Callithrix jacchus: one gene and its partners. The protein of the gene in region 5 interacts with the protein of the main gene of each other region in a pairwise test. Links are inferred from orthologs where the notes say so. Each region holds a gene or a part of one and is shown on either strand. Other genes may lie near its edges. The genes, in order: SSX2IP, ZNRD2, KLC3, DUSP12 and CCNH.

Region 1 (6,117 bases), on a different chromosome or scaffold from region 5:
CCTGTATGTCTGAACATAGGTATTTGTCTATAGGTGATCTTTTCACATATTTCTAAAAATTGCTGAAGTTGCTCTGCAGGAAAGGTGGTGTGTGTGTAGTATCAGCAACAGTAGAGACTTTGGAGAGGAATTAATAGATGATTTATTCATTCTGCAAATATTTGTTGAGGGTCCAGTATATATAGACACTGCTGGATGCTGGGAATACGAGAGTGAACAAGTAGATCTGTTCGTTGTCTTTTTAGAGGTAAATCGTATGTATGTATGTCTTTTTATTTCACATTTAAGATACAACTTAGAATACAGTCTTAATTATAGGAGTTAATGTTTAAAGTGCTTTAATTGTATTAAATAGAAGGATGTTGTTTTGACAGTTTTTGTAGAGTACATATCTTAAATTTTTTTTTCTGGCATGCCCATTTTATTGTTGTTGAAGGGCAAAGAACTGAAAAAACCTATTCATCTTGAGTGATAAAGATCTGTGCCCAAGGATGACAGTGTAAAAATACGTGGCTCTCCACCGTAGGAAACCCGTATATTGCTCTTAATTGCTGCATTTTGATATTTTCCTCTATCTCAAGTTATTAAATCATTTTCTGAGATAACAACAATACTCTACTTCAGAGCCAGTTCCAAGTTTAGTTTTAAATGAAGCAGAGGAAGCAGGTAGAGCATTCCTAGTAAGACAGAGAATAGAAAAGATTAGAGAGATAAGTTGGGAAGTGTGGTGATAATCTCTTTGCTCTTAATTAAAAATAGGAGACAAGGGCCTTGGAAAGCGCCAGTCAGAGCTGAAACAAACTTGGCCTGTGCTAGAGACTGGAGTGGAACTAAGTGTCAAATAAGCCAGCTGGCCCTTGGGCCAAGAACTATGAAATAGATGGAGTTTAAAACAAGAAATGAAACTTAAAAGGAGGAGGAGAACACCCTATAAGTTATGTTCACTTTTAAGAGGTGAGGGGATTAGGACCCCAAGTAAGTGTTAGAGGGAATGAAAAAGAGAGCTAGGTAAGAGCACTCTAGCCAAGTGTAGGTACCCTGAGGTGGGACACACTTCATGCATTTGTGATGGTGAGCATAGTGAACAAGACCTAGAGGTGTGAGATGAGGATGGAGAAATGTAAAAGTTCAAATATGCACAGATACAGAGAGAATCAGATCATGAACCCATGTGTACCTGTCACTCAGGTTCAGCATTTACTAACTCATGATCAGTATTGTTCATATGTAATCCCACTCAGCTTGCTCTCCCCACCCCAAACACATCTGGGATTTTATTTACAGAATATTTTAGTGTGCATTTGTAGGTTAAATATTGTTCTAAGGGGAACAGAAGAAACATTAGTTTTAAGCAACAGAGCGAAAACAAGTTTTATAAAGAGTACTGTTTTATAACGTCGAAAGCAGATTGTAGGAGTCTGTAATATAAACCAGGAAATTCAGTTAGGAGGCACTATTGGAGTGGAAACAAAAGATGATGGTAATTTGGACTAGGGTCATAATGTGAAGATAGAAATGCTTGGATTTGGGATTTATTTTGAAGTTAGAGCCAATAGTTGAGTTGGATATGGGAAGTGAACATTTATTTTACAGTCAAAAGATAATGTGTAAGCTCCTAGTATTTTCTTACATAGAATGTTATTCAGACTTGCAGATTTGACCAATCAGACCTATCTATATAGATATAGATGCAAATTCTGCCACCATTTACAAAGAATGCATTTTATATCTAAGAGATAGCATAATGTAATTGTCTCAATTGTTTTTATATATTTTAAATATTTAGCTTTTTACATAATTGTTTTTAGTTATGAAATATTTGGCATAAGTATTTCTTGAAGGCGTTGTTTTGTGTTTAATAAAGTTCAGCATTTAGTACCTAAATCATAGGGAGTTGCAAGTGAAGTGTTAATATATTAGAAGCACTGAAAAACAGTACCTAGTTACATTATAAACATTTAGTGACAGACTATGAAAATAAAAATATAGGCCATGCACGGTGGCTCACACCTGTAATCCCAGCACTTTGGGAGGCCAAGGCAGGTGGATCACGAGGTCAGGAGTTCAAGACTAGCCTGGCCAACATGATGAAACTCCGTCTCTACTAAAAATATAAAAGGTGTGGTGGCGGGCACCTGTAATCCCAGCTACTCGGGAGGCTGAGTCAGGAGAATCGTTTGAACCCAGGAGGGGGAGGTTGCAGTGAGCCAAGATTGTACCACTGCACTCCAGCCCGGGTGGAGACTGTGTCTCAAAAAATAAATAAAAAATAAAAATATATGTAAACAAATATAAACATGCTTTTCTGTTTCTGAATGCTCCATTCAACAACACCAGTGGTATAGAAACAATTTTGGAGCTTAAAGGAATTCAAGCTATTCATTGTTAACTAGCCTCCAAGAATAAAGCAAACAGAAAAGAGTTTTATAACTAATAGGGAAGCTGTGATTCCTGACATGGTTCTTTACATTTTAAATTATTTGATAAATTTGGTTCTCTTGCTCCTGAAGCATTTAGATCTTGGTTTATATTAATAATAATATTACAACAAAATAATTAGGAGTATTTGTAGCTAATTTCTACAACATCCTCATTGCTCCTTCACTGTAGAATGGAATTTTACATAAAGGCTGTGCCTTAAATTCCGGGCAAGGAGACTTGTGCATAAGTTACTTACAAAACTTAGTTTAATCATTTGTACAGGGATTATGATGACTTATAGTAATTTAGTCATCAGAATCCCTGTACAAATGATCAAACTAGGCATGCATCATTAATCCCAGCTAATTTTTGGTAGAGATAGGGTTTCAGGCTCTTCCTGAATTCCTGTTTGGCTGCCTCAGCCTCAGCCTCCCAAAGTACTAGGATTACAATTGTGAGTTACTGCTCCCAGCCTTTTTTTTTTTTTTTTTTAAAGTAAAATTTTAAACTAGGTTTTTGGTTTAGATTTTTAGAATTAAAAGGAACTTAATATTTTTTAAAGATTGCCACAGTATATGGTTGAGTTAGTAAACAAAAGTCACAAGAAGTGTACCTTTAGAAAAGTTTTTAAGAAAATTACCTAACATATTCACTTGATGAAAAATGTATTATTGTTGGTTCAATTGCATAGATTTTAGAGTTACCATTTTAGCAGATTTATTTTGTTTTGAGGCTGATTGAACCAAAACCATCTCACTAGAGAGTCTGGTCTTTTAGCCACTTCTGAAGTCACTCATTAAGTTTCTGTCTTGGTGGATAGATGAAAGGATGCTTTAACAAGTAGACATGTAAAGAAAGAAAGCATTACAAGATAAATAATAGTGGCAGAAAAATGGAGACATTTGGAATATTAGCTTTCAGAACCCTTAAGCTTCTCTACCTTAAGCTTCAGTTGGACAACATGCATCAAAGTAGGCTAAAGGGATAAATAAATAGATGAATAGATAGGATAAAAGTGATAAATTACACCATTTTGTAACACTTTAATGTTTTTGATCATGTGTCCTCCAAATTTATGTAAATTAGCACAAGACATGGAAGTGATGAGACCTTAGACATCAGGCATGTATACAGTATAAAAGGAGCAGAGGAGAGTCACTAAGATCTGCCTTTCCTTTTCCGACAGTTCAATCAATGTACTGAATATAACTCCTGAAGATATTAAACCAAATCAGGTTGGAGGAGAATGTACAAATCAGAAATGGAGTGTGGCATCAAGACCTGGATCACAGGAAGGTTGCTATAGTGGATGCTCCTTGACCTACACAAATTCTCATGTAGAAAAAGATGACTTACCTTAGACATGTGGACTGGAATTTTTTTCATTAACATATTCATCAAATCTCACATCTAAGTTGAAACAGGGTGTGTCATAAAGTCAATTATCTCTAATAACTTAAGATGGTCTAAGTCGTTTGTTTGGACTTCCCTGTCTTCCCCCAAAGAGTTGAAATGTTAAATCTATTTAAAAGGATATAAAAGCTTTGGATATGTATTTTTAGTAACAGAAGCATCTGGTTCTGTGAATAAAGGAATGTATAGATGTTTGGATGGAAACAAAAGCACTAGAATGAGTTTCCTCTTATAGGTATTAAAAATAGCACTTTTAGGAAACTGATTATTGTAAATGTTTAATTTTGTCTCAAATATAATTGGCATTGGAAGTTTAGCCTTTACTTGAATGTATACTGTAGATTTTTAACAAAGCGAGTTCTATATTTATTATGTTTAGTGTGATTTGAAATTACCTCTTTCATATGTTTTAAATAAAGTGAAATTTATGTATGTTTTGTACATAGATATACATGATTATGTTAAGAGACTTTAAGATTTTAAAGTTTCACACCTCCATAAGTATAGTATTTCATGCCGGTAAAAATATTTTAGTGATATTCTGTTTACAGATGTATTAGGACCATTGATATCATTACATTTAAGAATTCTTTTTAATACATCTGGGCAATAAATGTTTAAAGCTATTCCATGAAGTCTTTAGATAATCAACACTCCTAACATTACATTTTTGAGATTTTTATGACATTAGATTTTTATTTTATATATGTAGGATATTATAATTTTTAAAAGGTCTATTGATAGAGGAATAGGGGCAAGACAAAAGTACCGTTGAATAGAACAATTTAAGAAATTGGTTTAAGATATTGGATAATAGAAGATATTTAAGATATCTATATGGTGATATTTTCCTTATGAGATGGTGCCAGTATAGTAATATCTGTACTAACTAGGGCTTTGTATTTGTTGTCAATAATTTTTTTAATACTTTTTTAATGAGGTATTTACCACTAAAGAAATATGATAATGTAAAACCATCAAATTTTATAATTGAGATATTATGATACTCTGGAAAAACGTGCCATTTCATTTTCAGAAAACTCCTAGGCTCTCTTCAGTCTCTAATGTTTCTGATTGCATGTTTCTTCATGAAAAGTATATTGTTGTTTTGATAGTATAATATAAATATAGGCTCAGCTCTTCCCCAGGATTTTCATCAAAAAGCTTTAAGTGCCTAACCCTGCTTGTCTCTGTACATAGACGCCTGCACAGATCCAGTCCTTGCTAAGTATTGTAGTTTAGGCCCATTTACCTTCCCCTTTACTAATAGTTCAGCCACTTACATGCAGTCACCCTGTTTGTGGCTATTTTAAATTCGTATGATTAAAAAAAAACCTATTTGTGTTATTCATTCACTATACGTTAACTATGTAACTCTTTGGAGTTGCCTAGCAGCAGCCATTTTTTCAGGGCTGATAGGATATCATTAAGAGGATCTTATGAGACATTAGTGGATATATTCATAATACAGTAACCATATTTATAGTCTCAAGGAGCTGGCTCTTGAGCATTAGTCACTCACTACCTTTAGCTTGATGCATGGTCACTTCTTTGCTATTTAAAATACTCTACATGGTACAAAATATCACAGACACTACCATATTCTAAAGGAAGAAATCTAGCTGGGATGTGTTTATTTTTTTGCTTTATGGCAGTAACATGGTCAAAGAAAGGCAGGCACAAATTTTAAATACAGTTAATGAATACATTTGTCAAGAATTTCCCCCCAGGGTTTTGCATGGTATACTTTGTAAGAAGTAAACATTCTGATTTTTAAAGTAAATCTCATATTTCATGACAATGGAGGTCATCTGTTTTTTGTTTTCTGTTTCCATTTTAAAGTGGGTTGAATTCTCAAACTGGAAAGAAAAGTTCCTTGAAACTTACTTTAAAATATAAAGTGTGAAAGAAACAGCAGAATGAAAGCCAAACTCATTATACCCTCGATGTCTGTATAGATCCAGAAGTTGTACATTTTACTTAACATTACTTTTGTTGAACATTCTAATTCCAAAATGATCCCCAGTCACTGTAATCTCAGAATGTTGGAATGATGTCTTATTTGAAAACCCCGGACTCCACACATAAAACTCCTAGGATTTTGCTTCCCATCTCTTTCTAGGTATTTGTGGGCAATGTACAAATAATATAGCTGTGCTGATCTCACATTTAATCATGATAGATGATGGTAATAGAGTGCACTTCATTTGTAAGTTCTCCTGATAAGTGTTTTCTTGTTTATCAGTAATGTAAATCTGAAATATTTTATACTTCATTTGTTTT
Region 2 (5,876 bases), on a different chromosome or scaffold from region 5:
AACTGTGAAGCACCTGAGATTTTACCCAACTTCCAAGCTAACAAGGTAGCCCATCAGGTTCATGGATGCTGGCAGAATACATGAGAGTCCTTCACAGAGACTTTATCACTATGCAGCAAACAGCATGAGCACAGCATATTTCCATCAGTTTCTGTTGACCCTAAGTCCCAAGGGGATGATGCTGATAGGCTCAGGTAGATGTGGGCACACAGTGAATTGCATTGCGGGAGAGGACCCTGAGCTTAGGAAACTCAAAGCTAGTAAGCATGCCTGGCCTCTGCTCTGAAGGGAGACACTATCTCCATCCTCCGTGGCTATTCCCTAGATAAACAGCTTTGAAGCCGGGTGTGGCTCATGCTTGTAATCCTAGCACTTTGGGAGGCTGAAACAGGCAGATCGTCTGAAGTTGGGAGCTTGAGACCAGCCTGGGCACCATGATGAAACCCTGTCTCTACTAAAAATACAAAAAAAATAAAAAAATTTAAAAAAAAATTAGCCAGGTGTGGCAGTGCACACCTGCAATCCCAGCTACTCGGGAGGGTGAGGCACAAGAATCACTTTAACCTGGAAGGTGAAGTTGCAGTGAGCTGATACTGCGCCACTGCACTCTAGCCAGGAGATTAGGGTGATATTTGTTCCCCCAGCGCCCTCCCTGCAGGCTGCAAGGGACCAGGGGCTTCGAGTCTCCGCTGTGGGCCACAGCTCGTGGGCAGCCCTCCCCGGTTATGCCAATGGAGCAGTGTGCACTGGAGTGATGTCCCTCAGTCGCTAGCCCCAGTGGTTTCAGCTACTTCCTGCAGAGGCCCTGAGAGCTGAAGGAATTTGGATGGGCATCATTTGAGTCAGGCATCACTACTGGATGGGACTCTTTCATTGCTCCCTGTCACTGAGTCCCCTCCGCAGACCCTGAAGAAGGACTGTCATCTCCCCATCCTAGTGGCAGCAGCTTTAGACACTCAGGGCCACACCCTCCTCCTGGCTCTTCCCCACCACACTCCTGGTTTTCCTCTCTGCTCCCTCCAGCTGCTCTTTCTGGTCTTTGGCATGACTCCACCTCCTCTGCCTGACCTGGGAATGGTGACCTTCCTGGGGCACCCTGGGCCCTCTTCTCTCCACAGTAAGCCCACCCTTTCCCGCTGTTGTAGATGCCCCCTGTATAACCCCAAGCCTCTGTCTCCAGGCCAGACGTCCTGTCTGAGCTGCAGACTCCCGAGTTTAGGAGCCTCCACTTGGAATGACTCACAAGCATGTCAAACTCAGCAGGGCTGGAACGGAGCTGTGGACCTTGCCCGTGTTTCCAACTCCTCGGCCTCCCTCTTCCTCGCCCATCCGGGGATCAGGCCAGGAAGTGGGGGCCATTCATGCCACCCACCTCCCCAGCACCCCCAGTTCACCCAGTGTTTATATCTCACCTCCCAAATACATCTCCCCGGGGCCAAGTGAGATCTGCTCTCCTGGGATGAAGGCAGGGCGCCCTGACACAGTCCCACGGCAATGAATACATGGGGGATAATACCCCATACAAGGTTGTCATGAGGAATAAATTGAAGAGATTAAGTGGGAGGATTCATCTAAGGGTCTTTGTAGGTGCCAGGCAGCAGAGACAATTGAGTGGACATCGCCATGATGGTAAAATAGTTCGTGCACTGAAGAATTCACAGTAGGGCTGGGATCTGAAGATGGTAATAACCTGGGAGTCTGTGCATGCAGGCTGAAGTCCAAGAGGTGGTTCAGAGACAGTTCCTCTAGTCAGCCTAAGCCTGGGTGCTGTGGTTCACCGCTGTAATCCCAGCACTTCTGGAGGCCGAGGTGGGAGGATCGCTTGAGTCTAGGAGTTGAAGACCAGCCTAAGCAACATGGCAAAACCCCATCACTGCAAAAAAATACAAACAAAACACAACAACAACAACAAAAAAACGGTAGCTCTAGTCAGCCAGACAGAAACGACTTGGAGTACAGACTCTAAGGTACGCAGCTGCCCAGGAGCCTGGCTGGTAGATGGACATGTGAACGGGGCACAGGGCTCTCTAGGTGAGCAGGAGGCAGCAAAAACGACAGTTCTAGGGGGACTACGTGGGAGGAAGATGGGGCCAGGAGGAGGGCACTTCAGGTCAGATTGAGGGAGCCTGTGCCATCGCGAGGGGATTGCTGATGTAATTATGAAAGTCCAGCTCCTTTAACACTGCCCTGGTGTACGACCTCGAGCCCGTGCAGACCACATCTGAGGACCCCTGCCTGCCCTGTCTGGCTTCTCCTAATAAGGGAGAGGATGCATGTGGAAAAAGAACACAGGAGAGAGAGAAAAGCACCAAGGTCCCTGTTCAGAGAGCCCTGGTAATTTTAACTTGCAACTCACCCAAGAAGAGCCTAACGGTCGAAAGAGTATGTAAGAAGCCCCCACCCGACCCTGCCCAGCACGCAGCACTCAAGGGAGGCTGTAACCGGAATGCGCGTGACCGGTACAGCGCTATTCAGTCCGCAGGCTTTTTGAGGGTTTCAACTTCAAAGAAAGGTCGGCTTCGGGGCGGACTTTGCTTCAGTCCCAGGCCTCGGGAGGCAGCGGGGAGACAGATTGGGACACCGAGCATGCACAAGGGGAGGGGTCTTGAAATAGGCGGAAAGCGAGAATGCTCCCCTCCGGGCCGGGTTTGCCAGGCGAAGTGAGAAGCACTGAGGCCTGAGGAAGCTCCACGCGCGCGCAAAGGGCCGCTCGCTGTGATTACTGGGGTGGCGATGGTTGTGAGGACGCTGCTGCCCCGCCTGTGCCGAAAGGGAAACCCCAGGGGAGGCGGAGGCCAGCGGGGACCTGTGGTCCCCTTCATTCACGACGGAAAGGGCTCCCAGATCTTGCGACTTGGAGCAGAATTACCAGAGACGCCCGTCCCGAGGCCCCGAGCGTCGAAAGTTTCAGTCCCCTGGATTCCGGCTGACGACGCGTTCCCCAGGCAGGTTCTCCGCAGCGGCCCACACGCCCCACTGCGGACTCAGCGAGGTGTGAGGACCACGATGAGGCGTCATTTCCGTCGTGATCCGCGGCCGCTGTGGAAGGGGCGGAGCCGCAGCGGAGGGCGCTCCGCTTAGACGTCATTTCTGGTGAGCCCAGCGGCGGCCACGGCAACATGGCCCTGAACGGCGCTGGTGAGGACTTGGGCGGCAGGGGCTTGTGGCTGCGGCTACGGGAGGCAGCCCCCTGCGGCAAGATCCCAGTCTCTATGCCTCTCTTCCCCAGAAGTCGACGACTTCTCCTGGGAACCCCCAACTGAGGCGGAGACGAAGGTGCTGCAGGCGCGACGAGAGCGGCAAGATCGCATCTCCCGGCTCATGGGAGACTGTCTGCTGCGCGGTTACCGCATGCTGGGCGAGACGTGCGCGGACTGCGGGGTGAGGCGAGACCCGGGAGAGTGACGGGATGGGGCGCAGGCCAGGCCATTCAGCCCTTCCTCGGCCCTCCCTTCTGGACCTCAGCGCCGCGTCTCATTCCGGCCCCATGTGCTTTTTGGTCCGTAGACGATCCTCCTCCAAGACAAACAGCGGAAAATCTACTGCGTTGCTTGTCAAGAACTCGACTCAGACGTGGATAAAGATAATCCCGGTGAGGGTAAAAAAAATAATCCGGGAGAGGTGTGTGATTGGCGGAGAAGCGTGATGAGTGGTGATAGAGGCCGCAGAACAGTAGGCCTGGGAGGTGACAGTGGAGTCTCTGGGTGGTGCAGAGGTAAAATGTTTTCTCTTTTAGGCTTTAAAGAGGACTATTCACTCAGTAAGAGCAGCAAGCACCTTCTGTGTGCCAGCCACTGCGCGAGAGTCTGAGCTCAGTCAGACCCAGTACTGATGGAGAGTTGAAGCTAGGGCATAAATGTGATACATAGTAGAAAGTGGATAAGTTGCCTTATAGAGGGACAGGGAAAACACCTCAAGCACAGAAAGAGCAGAGCAGAAAAGGAGATGACTCAGGGCTGAGGTGGGCCAGGCATCCTGACCATTCTACTCACTTTCTCCTCTTTTTAGCTCTGAATGCCCAGGCTGCCCTCTCCCAAGCTCGGGAGCACCAGCTGGCCTCAGCCTCAGAGCCCGCCTTGGGCTCTCGACCTGCACCCCAGCCCCCAGTACCTCGTCCAGAGCACTGTGAGGGAGCTGCAGCAGGGCTCAAGGCAGCCCAGGGACCACCCCCTCCTGCTGTGCCTCCAAATGCAGATGTCATGGCCTGCACACAGACAGCCCTCTTGCAGAAGCTGACCTGGGCCTCTGCTGAACTGGGCGCTAGCACCTCCCTGGAGACTAGCATCCAGCTGTGTGGCCTTATCCGGGCGTGTGCGGAGGCCCTGTGCAGCCTGCAGCAGCTGCAGCACTGAGAGTAGCCCCTGAGAAAAACCCTCTAGAAAAACAGCTGTTCCTCTGTGTGGTTTGTTCTTTTCCTGGTTCTGAGTGTGCATGCCAGCCGCAGCTCCACTCACTTTTTTCAACTTTTGGCCTCTCACCTCTCCACTCTCTGCTCTTCTTGACGCCCTGAGATGAATTGAGCTTGTTTCTGCTCAGTTTCCCCAGTCAGGATGAGGGATTAGCCAGAGGACTATGTGATGCCCCTTTTCTCAAGAAGAGGACATAGCCTCTTCAAAGGTAGGAGCCAGAGGGCTGGACCCTACCCTTGTCTCTGGCAGCACCTCTGCAACCTCTTCCGCCATCCGGTGCCCATTCCCCACCTGGAAGTGAGATTTTGGGTTCCAATCCTCTTGATAGAATCCTCTCTTCCCCTGAGCATTCTGACCCTATCAGCCTATCCCAGCCATGCCCACCCCAGGTACTCAGACACCGACCGACAGGAGTTTGTGGTGACCCCAGCGTCAAGGGGCACGTTAGGCACCAAGTGTGGACTTGCCAGTCTCCTGACTCCACTGTTAGATCATTTTCCTTGGGAGGGTAATGGACAGAACTGGGGGCGGGGGGGAGGCGGGGATCGGGGCGCGGCAGGGAGACGAGGCAGCAAAAGGAACCGCGAAGGAACCACGCCTGCCCCTTTTGGCCTTTCCCCCTCTCCGCCTCCCTTTTCCATCTCCCCTTGGGTGGGTGCCCCGCTGCCTTTTCTCAGCTTTGCGCGAGTGGTTCCACAGCTGTTGCCTTTTTAAGAGAGGCCCGGCCCATGCGGAGGGGGTGGGGCAGAGGCGGAGTCTGAGGAGCTTGGGAAGGAACAAAGCGCGGCCTGCGGGCGGCGGCTGGCTCCGGCGGGACCGCGGGGTGCGGGGCCTGCGGGCGGCCGCCCGGGCAGAGCGTTGAAAGGAAGAAGGTGGCATCGCCGGCCCGGCCATGAACGGGCTGCCCTCGGCCGAGGCGTCAAGCGGCGCGGGTTGCGCCCTGGCCGGGCTCCCACCGCTGCCGCGCGGCCTCAGCGGCCTCCTTAACGCGAGCGGGGGCTCGTGGCGGGAGCTGGAGCGCATCTACAGCCAGCGCAGCCGCATCCACGACGAACTGAGCCGCGCCGCCCGCGCCCCGGATGGGCCCCGCCACGCCGCGGGTGCCGCCAACGCGGGACCCGCAGCCGGCCCTCGTCGTCCTGTCAACCTCGACTCGGCACTGGCCGCGCTGCGCAAGGAGATGGTGAGTGGGTGGGCGCCGGACCAGCGGAGCGCAGACACCCAGACAAGCTGCCTGGGTCTCAGAGAACTTGCAGGCACAGGTCGGGTTCCAAGGGTTATGGGAACGATAATTAGTGATAGTTACCAATTACGGCAGTAGTTACCCTATATTTCCAGACGTCTTGATGACGTTACTTCATTTCATCCCGCTAAATGCATGAGAACCCCATTTTTTTAGGAGACGGTCAGGACTTGCCTAAAGTTGCAAAGCTCGCAGGTGGTGCCTGACGTCCACAAAAACTTTGT
Region 3 (6,784 bases), on a different chromosome or scaffold from region 5:
GTGGCGGGGACAGCCCCACTCCACCTCCCCGGGGCCTCACTCACCGCAGGGTGCTCAGGGCCCAGCGTCTGCTCCCGGATCTGCAGGGCATCGTGGAGTAGGTCTGTGGCTTCTTTGTACTTGTTCTGGTCCCTGTGGGGCAGTGGGCAGCCCAGAGATGGAAGGAGTTAGCCAGGGGTTTGGGGCAGCTGCAGCCACAGGGGCTGGGAGGAACCTGGCTGAACCAAGCATGGGTGGCACCTTGTGGGGGCCCCTCCATCCTTCCTAAGTGTCTAACACAGCTTGTGCCCCCAGACCTCTGTCAAGCCTCTAGCCACCCCAGGTCTCTTGCTGGCACTGTTGGGGCCCCTGGTGTTTACGCTGACTCCTCTCTGCCTGGCTAAGTGACACTCTCCCCCCAGATGTGTCCCACTCCCTCTCTCCCCTTCTCATAGCAGAGCTTTTCCTTCCTCTCCTATTCTGGCTGTCCCCTGCCCTGACCTCCCCAGATGCTCCATGCTGGCAGAGTGGGTAACACAAGCACCCAATCGGTCCCTGCCGTTCCTTCCCCCAGTGACGGCCAGCCACAGCACTCACCGGTACACCAGCGCCAGGATGTTCAGCATGGTGGCCACGTCAGGGTGGCAGTGGCCGGAGCTGCGCTCCAGGTCCTCCAAGGCCTGGCGGCACAGAGGCACTGCTACCTCATAGCGGCCCTGCCCCGCGTACTGGATCACGAGGTTATGCAGGGTTCGAAGTCGGGCGGGGATCTCGTAGCCGCCCTGCTGAGCCGCTGCTGCTCCTGCAGCCTCAGGACCTAAGTGGGGGATGGGGTGGGCTCTGAGTAACCGCAGCCTCTTGCTCCTCCAGCCTTGCATGAGGGGACACTGCCCAGAACTGCCAGACTGCCCAACTGGTCCCTGAAACTATAGCCCTACCCCCAACACTGACTTCTAAGATTGGGGTCACTAGCATCTAACCAGCTGGAACACAGCAACCCACCTGCCTTGTGGAATGTGAATACAGGGCCTGCCGTGCAGGGGGGCTACCCTGCCCATTGTCACATTCAGGGTCCTCCTGAACCTGCCCTTACCTCCCCCTCCCCTGCTCAGAGACTAGGGTCTGGCAGCTCAGAGCCCCCTCCCCGCCCTTGCCATCCCTCAGGGCATGTACCCCCTGACACCCACCTTTCCTCTCCTCCTCGCTGGGGAACAGGGAGGCCAGGCTGTCTCGGCGAGGCGGGGACTCAGGCTGCTGCAGGGACATGGAAAGTGGGGGGTCAGGAGGTGTGTGGGTTTCAGAGATGGGGCCCTGGATCTCAGGGTTTGAGGGAGGTGGTTATCACGAGTGTGAGGGGCCCCGGGGGACAGGCGAGGTTCTGGGAACTTCGTGGAGCAGCTGGTGGGGGTGTCTACAGGAGTGCTGCTGGGTCTGTCTGGGGGCTCTACGGAGGGTTGGGGGTCTGGGGACTGTGGGACACTAAGGAGGCTCTAGGGGACTGTGGGACTCTAAGGAACTCTAAGGAGGTTCTGGGGGACTGGGGCTCTAAGGAGGGTTGGGGGGACTGTGGGACTCTCCAGAGGGTCAGGGGAACTGTAACGAGGGTCTGGGGGACTGTGGGACTCTACAGAGGGACTCTAAGGAGGGTTGGGGGGCTCTAAGGAGGTTCTGGGGGACTATAGGACTCAAAGCAGGGTCTGGGAAATATAAGGAGAGTCGGGGAACTGTAGGACTCTAAGGAGGGTCTGGGGGGACTGTCGGGCTCTGTGAAGGGTGAAGCCCCCATGCCGCCTTGACCTGCCTGTGGTACCTGGCTTTCTGGAGATGGGTCATACTGTCGCAGTTGCCCCAGGAACTCCAGGTGGTGCTTCTCCTCCTCCAGCTGGGCCACAGCCTCCTCGCTGGCCCGAAGCCGCCGCTGTGTCTCCTCCAGTTCCTCCCGAAGCCACACGTTCTCCTGGGCTAGCCGCCGGGCCTGTGCCCGCAGCCGCTGCTTCTCTGCCTCCAGTGTACCCATGTGTGCTGACAGGGCCAGCAGTACCTGCCCGGGGTGGGGGTCCTAAGTCGATGCTGGTTCCTACCCTTCCAGGCAGCCCACAACCCAGCCCAGGCCTCAAATCAGGCTGCAGCCCCTCACTGCTATGCACAATACCCCAAGTTCTGCAGAGACTCCACCAATGCAGCTCCAGTGTCCTCAGTTTCCCAGGGGCCCCTCTGATTTCACCCCCACACTCACCCCAGGACTCAGTTTGCTGAAGAATGCCATCTGGTTCAGGGGTCCCTGTCACAAGGACCCCATAAAGCTGCCAAGGGACTCGGTCTCTGGCCTGGAGCCTCCCCTTCCCAGGCCTGATTTCCCCAGGCCTCGCCCTGCAGCATTGCGCCTCTCTGGCATTTTTTTTTTTTTTGAGGTGGAGTCTCGCTCTGTCACCCAGGCTGGAGAGCAGTGGCATGATCTTGGCTCACTGCAACCTCCGCCTCCCAGGTTCAATTCTCCTGCCTCAGCTTCCTGAGGAGCTGGGACTACAGGCATGTGCCACCATGCCTAGCTAATTTTTGTATTTTTAGTAGAGACGGGGTTTCACCATGTTGACCAGGCTGGTCTCGATCTCTTGACCTCATGATCCACCCACCTTGGCCTCCCAAAGTGCTGGGATTACAGGTGTGAGTCACCGCACCCGGCTCTGCCATACTTTTTTTTGAGACAGTCTCGCTCTGTCACCCAGGCTGGAGTGCAGTGGCACAATCTCGGCTTACTGCAACCTCCATCTCCCAGATTCAAGTGATCCTCCTGCCTCGGTCTCCTGCGTAGCTAGGACTACAGCCACGTACCACCATGCCCAGCTAATTTTTTTTGTTTTTACTTTGAGATGGAGTTTCACTCTTGCTGCTCAGGCTAGAGTACAATGGCTTAATCTCCGCTCACTGCAACCTCTGCCTCCCAGCTTCAAGCTGTTTTCCTACCTCGGCCTCCTGAGTAGCTGGGACTACAAGCGCCTGCCACAACACTGGGCTGATTTTTGAATATTTAGTAAAGACCGGGTTTCACTAGGTTGGACAGGCTGGTCTCTAACTCCTGACCTCGTGATCTGCCCACCTCAGCCTACCCAAGTGCTGGGATTACAGGCATGTAATCCTTTAGTTTTTGAATTTTTAGTAGAGATGGGTTTTCACTATGATACCAGGCTGGTCTCGAACTCCTGATCTCATGATTAGCCGGCTTCAGGCTCCCAGTGTGCCCCTCTGCAATAGTGAGCTTCATACCTGGCCCTCCCCCACCCTCAGCTGACTGTCCCCCAGCCCCCCACCTAGCCCCCCTCATACCTGGGCCTCGCCCAGCCCCAGCTCGATGGCCTCCAGCGAGTGGCTCACCACCTGCTGCTTTTCCTCCAGCATCTCCCAGCCAGCCACTGGGCCTTGTCCCGCCAGCGCCTGCGCCAGGTGCCCTGCCAGGCCACAGTGCTCTGCCCGCAGCGCCTCCAGACCCTGTACCACTTGACGCGTCTGCCGCACCAGCTCCTCAGGGCTCAGGCGCTCTGGGCCCAGCCCCGCGCTTCCGGGTGCTGCCACCTGCACAGACATTGCTGCTTCTGGAGGGTAACAGTGGGGGGGTCAGGGAATCATTGCCAGGGCCAAGCAAGCTGGCCCCAGCCTCTACTCCCATAATAGCCATCAGGACCCCTAACTTCTCCCCATCCTATCTCTTCCCCACTCCACCCATTCTGGCCAGCCCTCTGCCTCCATACCCTCTGCATCCCAGTTTCCACACACATCCCAGCCCTCAGCTGACTGTCCCCCAGCCCCCCACCTAGCCAGCTCTCATCTAGAACATTCTAACCTACCTTCCTCTGTCCTCCCAACCCAGGGTTCTGCCCAAATCCTATGCATAATTAACCAAGAGAGGGCAAACAGCTGGCCTGGGGGTCCCCCATCTTCCCTCAGCTCACCTGCCCAGCCTTCCCCACCCCAAGGCCCCTGGATCTCTGGGCCCAGAGCTCCAGGTCGGCCGTGTGACCTGGGAGAGGCACCCTCCTCTGCCGGGCAAGTGGGGCGGGACATGTGGAGGCGGCAGCCTCTGCGTGAGCTCATTCTTAGGGTGTTTTTGTTGGGAACCAGTCAGACCACTGGGGGTGGGGTGTGGTGGGAGGAGAAGGCTGAGGGGCTGGGGCCCCTGGAAGCCCAGGAGGCCTCTAGGTTGGGGGGGTAGAGGAGGGGGTCATGTGTCGGCTCCCAGGTAACAGGGGCTCCACCCTCTTCCATCACAGACAGGCTCAGCCAGCCCAGGGCCTGTTGGGACACACATGTGATAGGTGTGGTCCAGGGATGTCACACTGGCCATGGGACAGCTGAGGGTCTGAAGCCCAGCTCACAGTGGGCAGGGCCCCTCCATGGGACTTCATGTGGTTGTATGTGGGTCACAGCTTAGCTGGCGATGCCTCTGGGGTCCTCCTAGACACACACACTCCTCAGAAGCACACCTCACACACCTCACCCTCCCTTCTTAAAGGCACAATGCAACACCCACATTCTCCTCTCTGAAATACAATTTGACACACACACAAATGTCCCCTTCTCTCAAATACAAGACAGGGACCGGCATGGAGGTTCATGCCTGTTATCCCAGCACTTTGGGAAGCTGAGGCAGGCAGATCACTTGAGGCCAGGAATTTGAGACCAGCCTGGCCAACCTGGTGAAACCCCATCTCTACTAAAAATACAAAACAAAATTAGCTGGGTGTGGGGGTGGGCACCTGTTGTCCCAGCTACTCAGGAGGCTGAGGCAGGAGAATCTCTTGAACCTGGGAGGTGGAGGTTGCAGTGAGCCCAGATCGTGCCACTGCAATCCAGCTTGGGTTACAGAATAAGACTCTGTCTCAAAACAAAAAACATGGTATACTCATGTACCCTCCAAAAATAGTTACACACACATACTCCCTCATTAGAAATACAGTGGAGGCCAGGTGTGTGGCTCACACCTGTATTCCCAGCACTCTGGAATTCTGGCTGAGGCAGGAGGACCACTTGAGACCAGGAGTTTGAGACCAGCCTGGGAAACAGCGAGACCCCATCTCTACAAACAAAATCAAAAATTTAGCCAGGTGTGGTTGGTGGCATACCTGGAGGCTGAGGTGGAAGGATCGCTTGAACCCAGGAGGTTGGAGCTGCACCGCTCAGCCTGGGCGACAGCACAAGACCCAGTTTAAAACAGAAAAAAAAAAAAAAATCAACATATACATTCTCCTCTTAAAAATACAACTCTACACACACCTACATTTTCCTTTTAGAAATACAACCTAACAACACACTCAGGCACACACACATATACTGTTCCTTCAAAAACAATCTGTACACACTTCCCTTTTAGAAATTCCACCCAACTCACAGGTATATTTTCAGAAATAAAAGCCAAGGCTGGGCATGGTGGCTCACGCCTGTAATCCCAGCACTGGGAGGCTGAGGCGGGTGAATCCCCTGAGGTCAGGCGTTTGCGACCAGCCTGGCCAACATGGTGAAACCCCCTCTCTACTAAAAATACAAAAATTAAGCTCAATGTGGTGGTGGGTGCCTGTAATATCAGCTACTTGGGAGGCTGAGGCAGGAGAATCACTTGAACCTGGGAGGCCGAGGTTGCAGTGAGCCGAGAGGGTGCCACTGCACTCCAGCCTGATGACAGAGTGAGATGCCTTCTCAAAAAAAAAAAAAAAAAAGAAAAGAAAAAGATGCTAGTCTAAGCAGAGGAAAACTCACGCAGAAACTAACTGTCTCTCCCACTCGTGAAATCACTCACTCAGACCATCTCCGTGCACCTGACCCTGACACTGTCTCCCAAACTCACACAGCCCCATAAAGTGCCTCACACACCTCTAGATTCACATACTCCCAGGATCATTTTGGAGCCCCCGCCAGCTTCCCCACCTCCTCCTCCTCCCCCTCCAGGCCTGGCCAGCAGGGACTCCCACACCTACACACTGTGTACTGCGATTCAGTTCCGCTGTCAGAACAGAAAGCTGTGGATGTGCGCGGAGGGATGCCACGTTCACGCACACTTCGCTCAAGGCACTGCGTCCACCATAAGCAGTGCAGCAGTTTCTATGTCACACACGCGCAATCACATACAGTAAGGGGCCTGCACACTTTGTGCACCACAGACTTGTCACTGATCTCTCTCTCTAGATATATGTATATATGTGTTGATGTTGATGTGTGTGAACATTTAAAAAAAATTTTTTTGAGACAGTCTCACTCTGTCGCCGAGGCTGGAGTGCAATGGAAGGATCTCGGCTCACTGCAACCTCCGCCTCCTGGGTTCAAGTGATTCTCCTGCCTCAGCCTCCCAAGTAGCTGGGACTAAAGGCGCATGCCACCACACCCAGCTAATATTTTGTATTTTTAGTAGAGATGGGGTTTCAACGTGTTGGCCAGGATGGTCTTGATCTCACTTCGTGATCCACCTGCCTTGGCCTCGCACAGTGCTGGGATTACAGGCGTGAGCCACCACACCTGGCCTTTTTTTAAAATTTGATTTTATGTTTTTGAGATCAGGTCTCACTCTGTTGCCCAGGCTGGAGTGCAATGGGTACAATCTCGGCTCACCACACCCTATCTCCCAGGTTCAAATGATTCTCCTGCGTCAGCCTCCCAAGTACCTGGGATCACAGGCGCCTACCACCATGCCCGGCTAATTTTTGTATTTTTAGAGATGGTGTTTCACCACGTTGTCCATGCTGCTCTCGAACTCCTGACCTCAAATGATCCACCTGCCTTGACCTCCCAGAGTGCTATGATTCCAGGCGTGAACCACCAC
Region 4 (5,638 bases), on a different chromosome or scaffold from region 5:
TGGGAAACAATAGTGAAACTCCATCTCAAAAAATAAAAAAAAGAAAAATGATTACATGGAGATTGCCAAAGGCTTCAGGTCCAATGTTAAGATTTTTCTCAAGAATTTTCCGTAATATTCCCATATATTTAAAAATTGAGCTAGGCATTTATTAAGAGGATCATTATTCACAACATATTTTTGTATTTTAAAATTACTCCCACTATGGTGTTTATTATATACATAGATACATACATATGTGTAAATATGCAAAATGTCTTGAGGACATGGACAATATTTTTCTTTATTAGTTTTTTTGGAGTAGTGTCCTGAGCAGCTGGGACTACAGGTGTGTGCCACCATGCCTGGCTAATTTTTTATTTTTAGTAGAGATGGAGCTTCACCATGTTGGCCAAACTCCTGACTTTAACTGATCTGCCTGCCTTGGCCTCCCAAAGTGCTAGGATTACAGGCGTTAGCCACTGCACCTGGCCTTTATTAGTTAATTGTGATTCTTGTAAATGTTCAAATACCTAATTAGGTCCAATTGTAATTATTGAGTAAAATAATTCTGGGTTTCTATAGATCAGGTTAAAAATCTAATCTGAACATATTACCTTTTCCAATATTCACATATTGGGCTAAAAATGACTTGATATATAGTAACTACATTTGTTTTATCATTAGAAACACATCTAACAGTAACACATTTCTTTATATAAATCACTTCAAAAGAGATCTCAAACACTTTTCTAAAAATATAGATAACTGGGATTACTGAACAATAATAGGAAAATTGCATTTTAATTAGTGTTTTACTAATGGCCTTTCCTTTATATTTCTAAGAAAAAAAATCCAGATATGTATGGGTTTATTAACATCCCTTAAAGAGGCCAGGTGCAGTGGCTTTCACATCTGTAATCCCGGCACTTTGGGAGACCAAGACGGGCAGATTGCCTAAGCTCAGGAGTTCAAAACCAGTCTGGGGAACATGACAAAACCCTGCCTCTACTAAAAATGTTAAAAAATTAGCTGGGCGTGGTAGCAGGCACCTATAATCGCAGCTACTTGGGAGGCTGAGGCAGGAGATTCACCTGAACCTGGGAGGCGGCGGTTGCAATAAGCTAAGATCCTGCCACTGCACTCTAGCCTGGGCAACAGGCTTTTTTTTTGTCTCAAAAAAAAAAAAAAGAAAATAAAGAAAGGAAAGGAAGGGGAAGGGAAGAGGAAGGGAAGGGGAAGGGCAGGGGAGGAGAAAGGAAGAGGGAGGGGAGGAGAAGGGAAGGGGTTAGGGGAGGGGAGAGGGAGTGAGAGGAAGGGAATGGGGAGGGGAAGGGAAGGGAAGGGAAGGGAAGGGGGAGGGGAGGGAAAGGGAAGGCGAAGGGAAGGGAAGGAAAAGGGAAAGGAAAGGAAGAAAGAAAGAGAAATAATTCCAAAATATGTCTCAACGAATCTGCTTTACATTTCTGAAAATAAAAGAATACCCATTTAAATTTAATAGTTTCAAATTTTTTTGTAAATAATTTTGTCTATACAGACCTTAAGATCATGTAACATTCCAAAAATCAGAACTTAAAAAAATACATGAAATGTAGACAGTATCTGGTTATAAAAGATTTTAATATCAAATACAATGTATATGGCTAAAAGGTTTTGGTTGCCACGTAAAGTATTCTACTTATATCACGTAATAAGCTAACAAAGCATAGTTTCCAGGTTACATCAAGTGATTTTATCTTCTCACATTTCAAATGAAATGCTGATAGCCTAAACAATCTGCCATGAATGGTAAGAAGTAAGGGCAGCACATATCATCTGCAAGTTTCTTCCGAAGCTGTAAAATACCATGTTCATATTTTTCTTGTTTGTGATCCCAAAATAGGCAATATTTTCATTTCATCCACTCTATTCTTATGTATTTGAAAAGCAGGTGTTATCCATCTACCACACGAGCACTGTTCACCATACCAGTTGAAGGAACCCAATTTGGCACTGCATTTTGGACAAAGAAGCTGAAATAAAGCAAATGTGTTACTTTATTCATTCGCTTTATATAAAACAAGTCATTATCTTTGGTATTCAATACAGGCCATTAAAACAAGTAAGGCGCAGTCCCCGCCTTGAGTTTATAATCTAATCACTAAGATAAAATGCATTGGAAACTTACTGTAATAGATACTAGACTACAATTACTGCATAGGAAGAATGTTGTATTCAGGAAGTTTAGAGAAGGAACAGATGTAGCTTGAAGGGAGAAAAGTGAAGCTTGTGATATAAGGAAAGTTTCATGGATGTGGCATACATATATAGCTTTTAAATCAGTTTATAATTTAGGATTTCAAATGAAAATCATCACAGCTAAAGTACAGAAAAGCATGTTAGGATTTTCGTGCTATATTACTAACCATATGTATTGACAGCATATAAGTCAGATTCTTGGCTATTTAAAGACAAACTGATATTCCAGGAAAATAGCTAAATCAAAAAAAAACCTAGTAAGTCAATTTCATTTTCTTCTTCATTTTTTTTTAAATTTGAGACGGAGTTTCGCTTTTGTTACCCAGGCTGGAGTGCAATGGTGAGATCTTGGCTCACCACAATCTCTGCCTCCTGGGTTCAGGTAATTCTCCTGCCTCAGCCTCCTGAGTAGCTGGGATTACAGGCACGCACCACCATGCCCAGCTAATTTTTTGTATTTTTAGTAGAGACAGGGTTTCACCATATTGACCAGGATGGTCTCAATCTCTTGACCTCGTGATCCACCTGCCTCAGCCTCCCAAAGTGCTAGGATTACAGGCTTGAGCCACCGTGCCCGGCTATTTCATTTTCTTCTAATGTACTTAGTTACAGCATTATTTTTTATGTTTAGCTCTTTGATTTGTGCATGATATAAGGTAGGGGTTTTTATTTTTAATCTTGAGCTATAGAAAATCTAGACATAAAACTCAGAAGTGGGTTAGGTGCGGTGGCTCACACCTGTAATCCCAGCACTTTGCGAGGCTGAGGTGGGCAGATCACCTGATGTCAAGAATTTGAGACCAGCCTGGCCAACATGATAAAACTCTGTCTCTACTAAAAATACAAAAATTAGCCAGGCATGGTGGCAGGCACCTGTAATCCTTGAGAGGCTGAGGCAGGAGAACCACTTGAACTCGGGAGGCAGAGGTTGCAGTGAGCTGAGATCGTGCCACTGCACTCCAGCCTAGGTAACAGCTTCCATCTCAAAAAAAAAAAAGTTCAGAAGCCACAAATAAAAATCTAACAAATTTGATTATGTAAATATCTTTCATTTTTTAATATGACAAAACATACAAAAAAAGTGAGAAAAGCAATAGACTGAAGAAAATAGTTATAATATATTAGATAAACTATTAACATCTAGAATATATAAAGTTCCAACAAATCAGTAAGAAGGCCGGGCACAGTGGCTCACACTTGTAATCCCAGCACTTTGGGAGGCTGAGGTGGGCAGATCACGTGGTCAAGAGATTGAGACCAGCCTGGCCAACATGGTACAACCTCATCTCTACTAACAATACAAAAATTAGCTGGGTGTGGGGACGCACACCTGTAGTCCCAGATACGTGAGAGGCTGAGACAGGAAAATCACTTGAACCCAGGAGGCGGAGGTTGCAGTGAGCGGAGATTTCAAGATTGTGCCACTGCACTCCAGCCTGGTGACAGAGTGAGACTCTGTCTCAAAAAAAAAAAAAAAAAAAAAAAAATCAGTAAGAAAGAGTTTATAAAACCCATAGACAAATGGGCCCGGGAATATGAGAGCAATTTATAGAAAAGTAAACTATAAATGGCTGGTAAATATATAAAGATGGTGGTCGATGACTATTTTCACAAAATTCCAATTAAACATTTTAGGATTAACATTTTTTACCCCACAGGTTGACAAAACATTACCAGTTGTATAGTATCTATCATGTCAAGGATATGGGGTACATGCATTCTGTTACTGAAACCCAAATTTATATGAGTATTTTGGATATTGTACTAGAATATCACTAATATTTAAAACACACCTTCTTTGAACCAGGAATTCCACTTCTAGGTACATATTCTATAGAAAAAAATTCAACTATGTATACAAAGAAGTATGCACAGGATTCAGAATCTTACATAAAAATGTATTTAACTTGGTTGGAGTGTGTGTTTGTTTCCCAGGTTAAATAAAATCAGAAAGTCAAAATCACAAGCCACAAAAAAGAAAAACTGATGAATTAGATATAACCGAAATTAAAAACTCTAACTGCTACAAATAATGCCATCAAGAATGGGAAGTTAGGGCCAGGCGCAGTGGCTCACACCTGTAATCCCAGCACTTTGGGAGGCCGAGGCGGGTGGATCATGAGGTCAAGAGATCGAGACCATGCTGGTCAACATGGTGAAACCCCGTCTCTATTAAAAATACAAAAAATTAGCTGGCCAAGGTGGCACGTGCCTGTAATCCCAGCTACTCAGGAGGCTGAGGCAGGAGAATTGCCTGAACCCAGGAGGTGGAGGTTACAGTGAGCCAAGATCCCGTCATTGCACTCCAGCTAGGGTCACAAGAGCAAAACTCCATCTCAAAAAAAAAAAAGAATGGGAAGTGACTGATAATGTGTACATTATTTTTCGGGTGCTGTGAATGGTAATGTGATAAGGTTTGGCCCTGTGTCCTCATCCAAATCTCATCTCAAATTGTAATCCCCACATGTGGAGGAAGGGAGGTGACTGGATCATAGAGGCGGATTCCCCCATGCTGTTCTTGCGATAGTGAGTTAGTTTTTATAAGATCCAATGGTTTTATAAGTGATAGCTTCTCCTTCACACATGCTTCTCTCTCCTGCCGCCTTGTGAAGAGGAGGCCTGCTTTCCCTTCCAACACGATTATAAGTTTCCTGAGGCCTCCCCAGCCATGCAGAATCATGAGTCAATTAAACCTTTCCTTTATAAATTACCCAGTCTCACATACTATCTTAAAGCAGTGTGAAAATGGACTAATACATGATGGCGGTTGCAAAAAACACTGTGAATACACTTTTAAAAAACCACTGAATTGTACACCTTAAATAGGTAAATTGTATGTCCTGTGAATTATACTATAATAAGGTGGTTTTTTTAAAAACCAGCATCATCTGAAAATGTGAGTTTGATCATAGGGTACCACCTTCTAGGGAAGACACTAACTGATAAACAGTTTCCTCATGCATAAAATGTAAATATAACTGCTCTACCTATTTTATAAAGCTATGGCATTCTTCAAATGATATAGTTAAAGGGTTTCATAAAATAGCCACTATACAAACTTTTATACAAATCATACAAACATTCAAAATCATTATTAAGATTATTATTATAGAATACCTTCACATTAGTATCAAATAAACCTAAAGGAGAAATGTGGCTGTCATGGCGCACTCCAACCAAGTTAAACACATTTTTATGTAAGATGTCACATGAACTGCATTCTTTCTTTCTTTTTTTTCCACACCCACTGGTTATAGGAGCAATAGGATGAGCTGTATTCTTTAACTGGAAATGAAAAAGAATCTCATAGCAAAACATATTAAATTTCACTTTCCGGAAAGATCAGAGAAAAGAGAGAGACACATACAGGAAGCCAACAGAGAAAAATAAAGAACTTTTAACCTAATTTTAAAATCCCTGA
Region 5 (6,117 bases):
TACTTTCCTCTAAGTTTTCAACTAGTGAGCCTTAGAACCAGAAATAGAACTAGACTACTGCTTTTCCAACTCTATGACACCCGGTAGATGTTTGAAATAATACATTCATTCATCATTTGTAATCATATGCTCCAGCTGAAACTGATGCCATAAGATTTTTTTTTTAAGCTTTGATTAGTAGAAGCTGGAGTTTTATCTTTGGTTAAAAAGATTGTCATATTGTTTCAGATGTATGATTCTGAGGACCTGTGGGTTTTTTTTGTTTGTTTGTTTGTTTTGCTGGGGTGCACAACAGTGAGGAGAAACAGGTAGCTGAGATTAAAAAGCTGAAAGATAAAAAAGTGTAATGGGGGAGTGTTAAAAATGTTTTTATGTTATTTTATCAGGTTTGTTGTGAAGACTAAATGTAAAAGTCTATTTTAAGTAAAAGTCTGTTAAGTTTTAAAGCTATATACAATGCGATTAGCTTCTAGGAAATTATCTCCATTTTTATTGTTGAAAAAACATTGAAGTATGTCGAAAATATTAAGTCATATAACTTATTTTTTTTTCCATATGAGATATCAAAGATTCAGAGAGTTTTAGGTGTACTCAGTTTCTGTCTTCAGATTTGGCTTATTCTTACAAAAGAATTGTAAAATGAGGCAGTAAATTTAAGTGATTTTATCAAATGAAGAAACCTTTAATAAACTTCTTTATGGAATTTATCTTTAAATAACATGTTTGTGATTGGTGAATAATTTTTTGTTTTAAATAATGACAAAACTAAACTTTTAAAATATTTAAAAGGAAATATTTTTTCTATCATAAAATAGATAAGTGGTTATTTTATTGGTTCCAGCCAAGTGATATAATGGTTAAAAGTACAGGCAGGTGTTAACTTGAATTCATTCCTGTTCCTTATTAGCTGTGTGACTTAGATAAGTCAGTTAACCTTATTGATAACTCAGTTTCCTTCTCTGTAGAGATAGTAATACTTCACTAAGCTGTTGTAGGGATTAAAACATGATGATAGTTTAGAGTCTGGCACATGGGATGCATTCAGTAAATAGTAGTGCTGCTTTTGCTGTTCAGTTAGCAGCAGTGATCACAAATCATGGAGTGGACATACGGTTATGTAAAAAATATGAAGTGACTTTAGAGAGAAGGCTTATTACCTTACCCATGTATTTTTGTTAATATTTTTATAAGATTGGTTAATCTCTGAACATTTGTATTTTTTCTCCTTGAATTTAATTCAGGTCATTTTTGGTACTCTGAATTCTGAAACACACATACCCTATTTTTAAATCCAGTGACCATAGGAAGGATTAGCCAGAGTAGTCTGGGGATAGACAACCAAAGGACGGGAAAGGGTCTTTTGGCTATGGCATTTATGTAGTAATTCATCAATTTATTTTGATTAAAGAAGAATTAATATTAGCATTTTTATGGGTAATCTCTACAAAGAAACCTTTCCATAAGTAAATTCTGTTTCACAAAATTTAACAGGTAACATTTGTGAATACTGATGATTTTTTTTTAACCCTTAGGGTACAGCTTGTATGTATTTCAAGCGTTTTTATCTTAATAATTCAGTAATGGAATATCATCCCAGGATAATAATGTGAGTATGTCTGTCTAATTTATTTTCATTTAAAGAGACTTTTATACTCTTTGAGTATTTGTGGAAGGAGAGTTGTGTCAGAGAACTGACTTCCTAATCTAGGTCATTTAGACTTGAATTTTTTTTTTTTTTTTTTTTTTAATTCAGAACTTAAGATCTCTATTTACCTATACTTCGGTAATACTGATGGCATCTGAACTTCAAGTTGTCCAGATTCAAATTTTGTTTTTCTCAATTAGGTGCTTCTCTAATATCTCTCCCTGTTAGACGCCTAAGTTCTTCCAGTTGTTCAGACCGAGAATCATTTGTAGTGGCCCCTCTCCTTCCACATGCAGTCAGTGTTTGGATGCTATAACTTCAGATTCATTTCAGTTGAACAAAGGTCTCTTGTTTCTGCTCTCTGCTGAGCACTGTGTCTATCATTAAAGTTGAAATTAGTATGAGACTCATCAAAGAGCTTGTTCTCAATGACAACGTACCTGTTTTCTCTTTTCGATTCCCATTTCCTCCAGTCAAGATTAGGCCCTTGATCTCACTTCCAACCTTGATTTTTGCAATAGCTTTTTTAACTAGTTTCTTATACTGAACAGCATGAAGTGGCCAGGTAAATTTCACACATTTGTCCCTGAAATAATAATTCCTTATTCAGATGCCCTCAGAGACTTCCATGGATGGGCTTCCACAAAGTTCCTTAAACCTACTTTTCTTCCCATGCTTATATGATATATAAGCGGGTATTGCTTTATTTTTAACTCTTTGTCTACATGATACAAAGTATTCTTATTCCTCAGTTAATTTGTTTTTCCAGATACTTAGGTTGTCCTGCATGACACTGTCATTGAGTGAATGATGGTTGAATGCCATGGCAATATTAGTTGGTTTGACCTGATTTTATAGTCTGCCTTATGTCTCCTAATGGATGAAAGTGTGAACAAAGAGCTATCTTAAAAATATATATATATTCCTGCAATGTCTACCAGTCACTTTTGAATATCAGACAATTATAGAATATACTTTTAGAAATAAATTAGATATTTCTCAAAGTATATGCATGTTGTTCCACCCCCCACCCCCGTACCTCCTTATTTTTTCCTCTAGGCTCACTTGTGCATTTTTGGCCTGCAAAGTAGATGAATTCAATGTATCTAGTCCTCAGTTTGTTGGAAACCTTCGGGAGAGTCCTCTTGGACAGGAGAAGGCACTTGAACAGATACTGGAGTATGAACTACTACTTATACAGCAACTTAATTTCCACCTTATTGTCCACAATCCTTACAGACCATTTGAAGGCTTCCTCATTGACTTAAAGGTAAACTTGATGTAAAATAAACGAACACATCGCCTTTCCTATTCTTTAACCAAGAGAATCCAAAATTTTAAAACCCTTAATTGTTATACCTTGGATATACCACAGGCCCTCGATGACATGTGGATCTGACCTGGTCATCGAGGGCAGTTGTTTCCAAACTTCTGTGGGCATGAACAGACATCTGGAGAAATTGTTAACTCAGATTGTTGGGTGGGACTTACAGAGTTTCTGATATAAGTGATCTGCAGTTCTGCTCCAGGGACGTAATGAAGACCATGGAGAATTTAGAACAGTGCCTATAAAGGTTTGAGATAACTCTTCTGACTTTGAATTATATTGTCATGGATATTGGCATGATTTAAAGAACCATAAATTCTTAAACTTAAACTAGAAGATTGCTAAGTCACTTCTATTTTTAGAGGTTTGTGAACTTGAGTCACTATGTAGGCATCAATAATATATGTAAACAAACATTGACAAAAGCAACCTTTAGATTGTTTTGTTTGGCTCTGACAGAATAGTTGGATAGTCTAAGTCGAGTCAAACAGAAATCAGAAACTGGTTTATTCATATTAGTTCAGTGGCTCAATTTGGGTACTTTTTATGTGCCAGACTTTGTGCTTGAGGATGTAACCAGAAACAGGAGAGGAACAGTCTTAACTTTTGGGAATTTTACAGTCTAACAGTTTTAGATAATCATATCCAGTGTGCTAAGTGATACAGAGAGGAAGATATATTTTAGAAGGAGATAACAGATTAAGGGGTAAGGAAAATATTCTGAGAATGTATCATTTAAAATAAAATTCAGAGTAGGAATAGGTGAGAGAAGAACATCCCAATCAGAGACTTCACTGGTCAAAAGCTCAAATTCAAGAAACCATTCTTTGCTAAAGAACCTGGGCAGAGCCTAGCAATGCAAGGGGAAGAATATCACAGACAACAACTACCAGTGTGGAAGGCAAAGTCTAGAATGTGGAGACAATGATACACATTTCCAATACAGCAAAGAGAAGCCAGTGAAAGGTTTAAATTTAGAGTGGCATAATTAGATTTTCAGCTTTAAAACATCATGTTGGCAACCTTATGCATCAGGCTGCATCAGGTATTTATTGCACATCTGTTGTGTCAGGCATACGTGGAGAAAGGATTTGAATGAATTAAGGGAGTAATGGGGTACTGTTAAAGGATTCCAGGCAAAAGATGGTGGTGAGCTTCACTCATATGAAGTTCATGAACTCTGGGCTTGAGTTACAGTCTGAATATCCCTTATCTGAAAAACTAGGGACCAAAAGTATTTGGGATTTCGCACACACACACACTCAAAATCCTTATATATTTTGTTCCACTTTAGGTTCTGGGGTGCATGTACAGAACATGCAGGATTGTTGCATAGGTACATACATACATGGCATGTGGTTTGATGTCTCCATCCCTCTGGTCACCTGTATCTGGCATTTCTCCAAGTGTTATCCCTCCCCATCCTCCCTACCCCTCTATGTCCCTCCCTTATTCACCCCACAACAGACCCCATTGTGTGATACTCCCCTCCCTGTGTCCATGTGTTCTCATTGTTCAACACCCGCCTGTGAGTGAGAACATGCAGTGTTTGATTTTCTGTTCTTGTGTCAGTTTGCTAAGAATGATGGTTTCCAGATTCACCCATGTTCCTACAAAAGACATGAACTCATCATTTTTTATGGCTGCATAGTATTTTATGATTTATATGTACCACATTTTCCTTGTCCAGTCTATCATCAGTGGGCATTTGGGTTGGTTCCAGGTCTTTGCTATTGTAAATAGTGCTGCAGTGAACATACAAGCGCATGTGTCTTTATAATAGAGTGATTTATAATCCTTTGGATATATACCCAGTAATGGCATCTCTAGGTCCTTGAGGAATCGCTACACTGTCTTCCACATGGTTGAACTAATTTACACTCCCACCAACAATGTAAAAGTGTTCCAATTTCTCCACATCCTCTCCAGCATATGTTGTCCCCAGATTTTTTGATGATTGCCATTCTAACTGACATGACATGGTATGTCAGTGTGGTTTTGATTTGCATTTCTCTAGTGACCAGTGATGAACATTTTTTCGTATGTTTGTTGGCATCATATATGTCTTTTGAAAATTGTCTATTCATGTCCTTCACCCACTTTTGAATGGGTTTGTTTTTTTTCTTGTAAATCTGTTTTAATTCTTTGTAGATTCTGGATATTAGTCCTTTGTCAGATGGGTAGATTGGAAAAAATTTTTCCCATTCTGTTGGTTGCCGGTTCACTCTAATGATTCTTTTGCTGTACAGAAGCTCTGGACTTTAATTAGATCCCATTTGTCTATTTTGGCTTTTGTTGCCAGTGCTTTTGGTGTTTTAGTCATGAAGTCCTTGCCTGTGCCTATGTGCTGAATGGTATTGCCTAGGTTTTCTTCTGGGGTTTTTATGGTGCCAGGTCTTATGTTTAAGTCTTTAATCCATCTGGAGTTAATTTTAGTGTAAGGTGTCAGGAAGGGGTCCAGTTTCTGCTTTCTGCACATGGCTAGCCAGTTTTCCCAATACCATTTATTAAACAGGGAATCCTTTCCCCATTGCTTGTTTTTGTCGTGTTCGTCAAAACGTTCGTTGTAGCTGTGTGGTGTTGCCTTTGAGGCCTCTGTTCTGTTCCTTTGGTCTGTTTCTCTGTTTTGGTACCAATACCATGCTGTTTCGATTACTGTAGCCTTGTGGTATAGTTTGAAGTCAGATAGCATGATGTCTCCAGCTTTGTTCTTTTTGCTTAGGATTGTCTTGGCTATGTGGGCTCTCATTTGGTTCCATAAGAAGTTTAAGGTGCTTTTTTTCCAGTTCTGTGGAGAGGTTCATAGGTAGCTTGATGGGGATTGTGTTGAATCTGTAAATTACTTTGGACGGTATGGCCATTTTCATGATAATGATTCTTCCCAACCATGAGCATGGAATGTTTTTCTATCTGTTTGTGTCCTCTCCTATTTTATTGAGCAGTGGTTTGTAGTTGTCCTTGGAGAAGTCCTTTACATCCTTTGTTAGTTGTATTCCTAGGTATCTTATTCTCTTTGTAGCAATTGTGAATGGAAGTTTGCTCATGATTTGGCTCTCTGTTAATCTGTTATTGATGTATAGGAATGCTTGTGGTTTCTGAACATTGATTTTGTATGCTGAGACTTTGCTGAAGTTGCTTATCAGTT

What was found.
Region 1: the proteins of CCNH (region 5) and SSX2IP interact in binary tests that used the Homo sapiens proteins (3 or more experiments, as listed by UniProt). The link is inferred for Callithrix jacchus from reciprocal best matches to the Homo sapiens genes CCNH and SSX2IP.
Region 2: the proteins of CCNH (region 5) and ZNRD2 interact in binary tests that used the Homo sapiens proteins (3 or more experiments, as listed by UniProt). The two-hybrid records come from large-scale screens. The link is inferred for Callithrix jacchus from reciprocal best matches to the Homo sapiens genes CCNH and ZNRD2.
Region 3: the proteins of CCNH (region 5) and KLC3 interact in binary tests that used the Homo sapiens proteins (3 or more experiments, as listed by UniProt). The two-hybrid records come from large-scale screens. The link is inferred for Callithrix jacchus from reciprocal best matches to the Homo sapiens genes CCNH and KLC3.
Region 4: the proteins of CCNH (region 5) and DUSP12 interact in binary tests that used the Homo sapiens proteins (3 or more experiments, as listed by UniProt). The two-hybrid records come from large-scale screens. The link is inferred for Callithrix jacchus from reciprocal best matches to the Homo sapiens genes CCNH and DUSP12.

What each region holds. Positions count from the first base shown.
Region 1 is NC_133508.1:121,862,282-121,868,398, reverse strand, and holds part of SSX2IP (afadin- and alpha-actinin-binding protein), read left to right. Parts: coding exon 1-19; intron 20-759; exon of another isoform or gene 760-954; intron 955-3,607; coding exon 3,608-3,782; 3' UTR 3,783-6,117. UniProt on the Homo sapiens protein: Belongs to an adhesion system, which plays a role in the organization of homotypic, interneuronal and heterotypic cell-cell adherens junctions (AJs).
Region 2 is NC_133511.1:122,651,976-122,657,851, forward strand, and holds ZNRD2 (protein ZNRD2), read left to right. Parts: upstream 1-3,086; 5' UTR 3,087-3,119; coding exon 3,120-3,138; intron 3,139-3,229; coding exon 3,230-3,381; intron 3,382-3,507; coding exon 3,508-3,592; intron 3,593-4,008; coding exon 4,009-4,352; 3' UTR 4,353-4,386; downstream 4,387-5,876. Other genes in the region: FAM89B (leucine repeat adapter protein 25), read left to right, coding at 5,302-5,592. UniProt on the Homo sapiens protein: Might play a role in mitosis. Antigenic molecule. Could be a centromere-associated protein. May induce anti-centromere antibodies.
Region 3 is NC_133523.1:39,523,402-39,530,185, reverse strand, and holds the start of KLC3 (kinesin light chain 3), read right to left. Parts: upstream 4,172-6,784; 5' UTR 4,069-4,171; coding exon 3,927-4,068; intron 3,570-3,926; coding exon 3,304-3,569; intron 2,021-3,303; coding exon 1,790-2,020; intron 1,234-1,789; coding exon 1,167-1,233; intron 797-1,166; coding exon 577-796; intron 133-576; coding exon 45-132; intron 1-44. UniProt on the Homo sapiens protein: Kinesin is a microtubule-associated force-producing protein that may play a role in organelle transport. Plays a role during spermiogenesis in the development of the sperm tail midpiece and in the normal function of spermatozoa.
Region 4 is NC_133519.1:21,596,507-21,602,144, reverse strand, and holds the end of DUSP12 (dual specificity protein phosphatase 12), read right to left. Parts: intron 1,992-5,638; coding exon 1,830-1,991; 3' UTR 1,583-1,829; downstream 1-1,582. UniProt on the Homo sapiens protein: Dual specificity phosphatase; can dephosphorylate both phosphotyrosine and phosphoserine or phosphothreonine residues. Can dephosphorylate glucokinase (in vitro).
Region 5 is NC_133503.1:123,463,003-123,469,119, forward strand, and holds part of CCNH (cyclin-H), read left to right. Parts: intron 1-1,532; coding exon 1,533-1,606; intron 1,607-2,704; coding exon 2,705-2,915; intron 2,916-6,117. UniProt on the Homo sapiens protein: Regulates CDK7, the catalytic subunit of the CDK-activating kinase (CAK) enzymatic complex. CAK activates the cyclin-associated kinases CDK1, CDK2, CDK4 and CDK6 by threonine phosphorylation.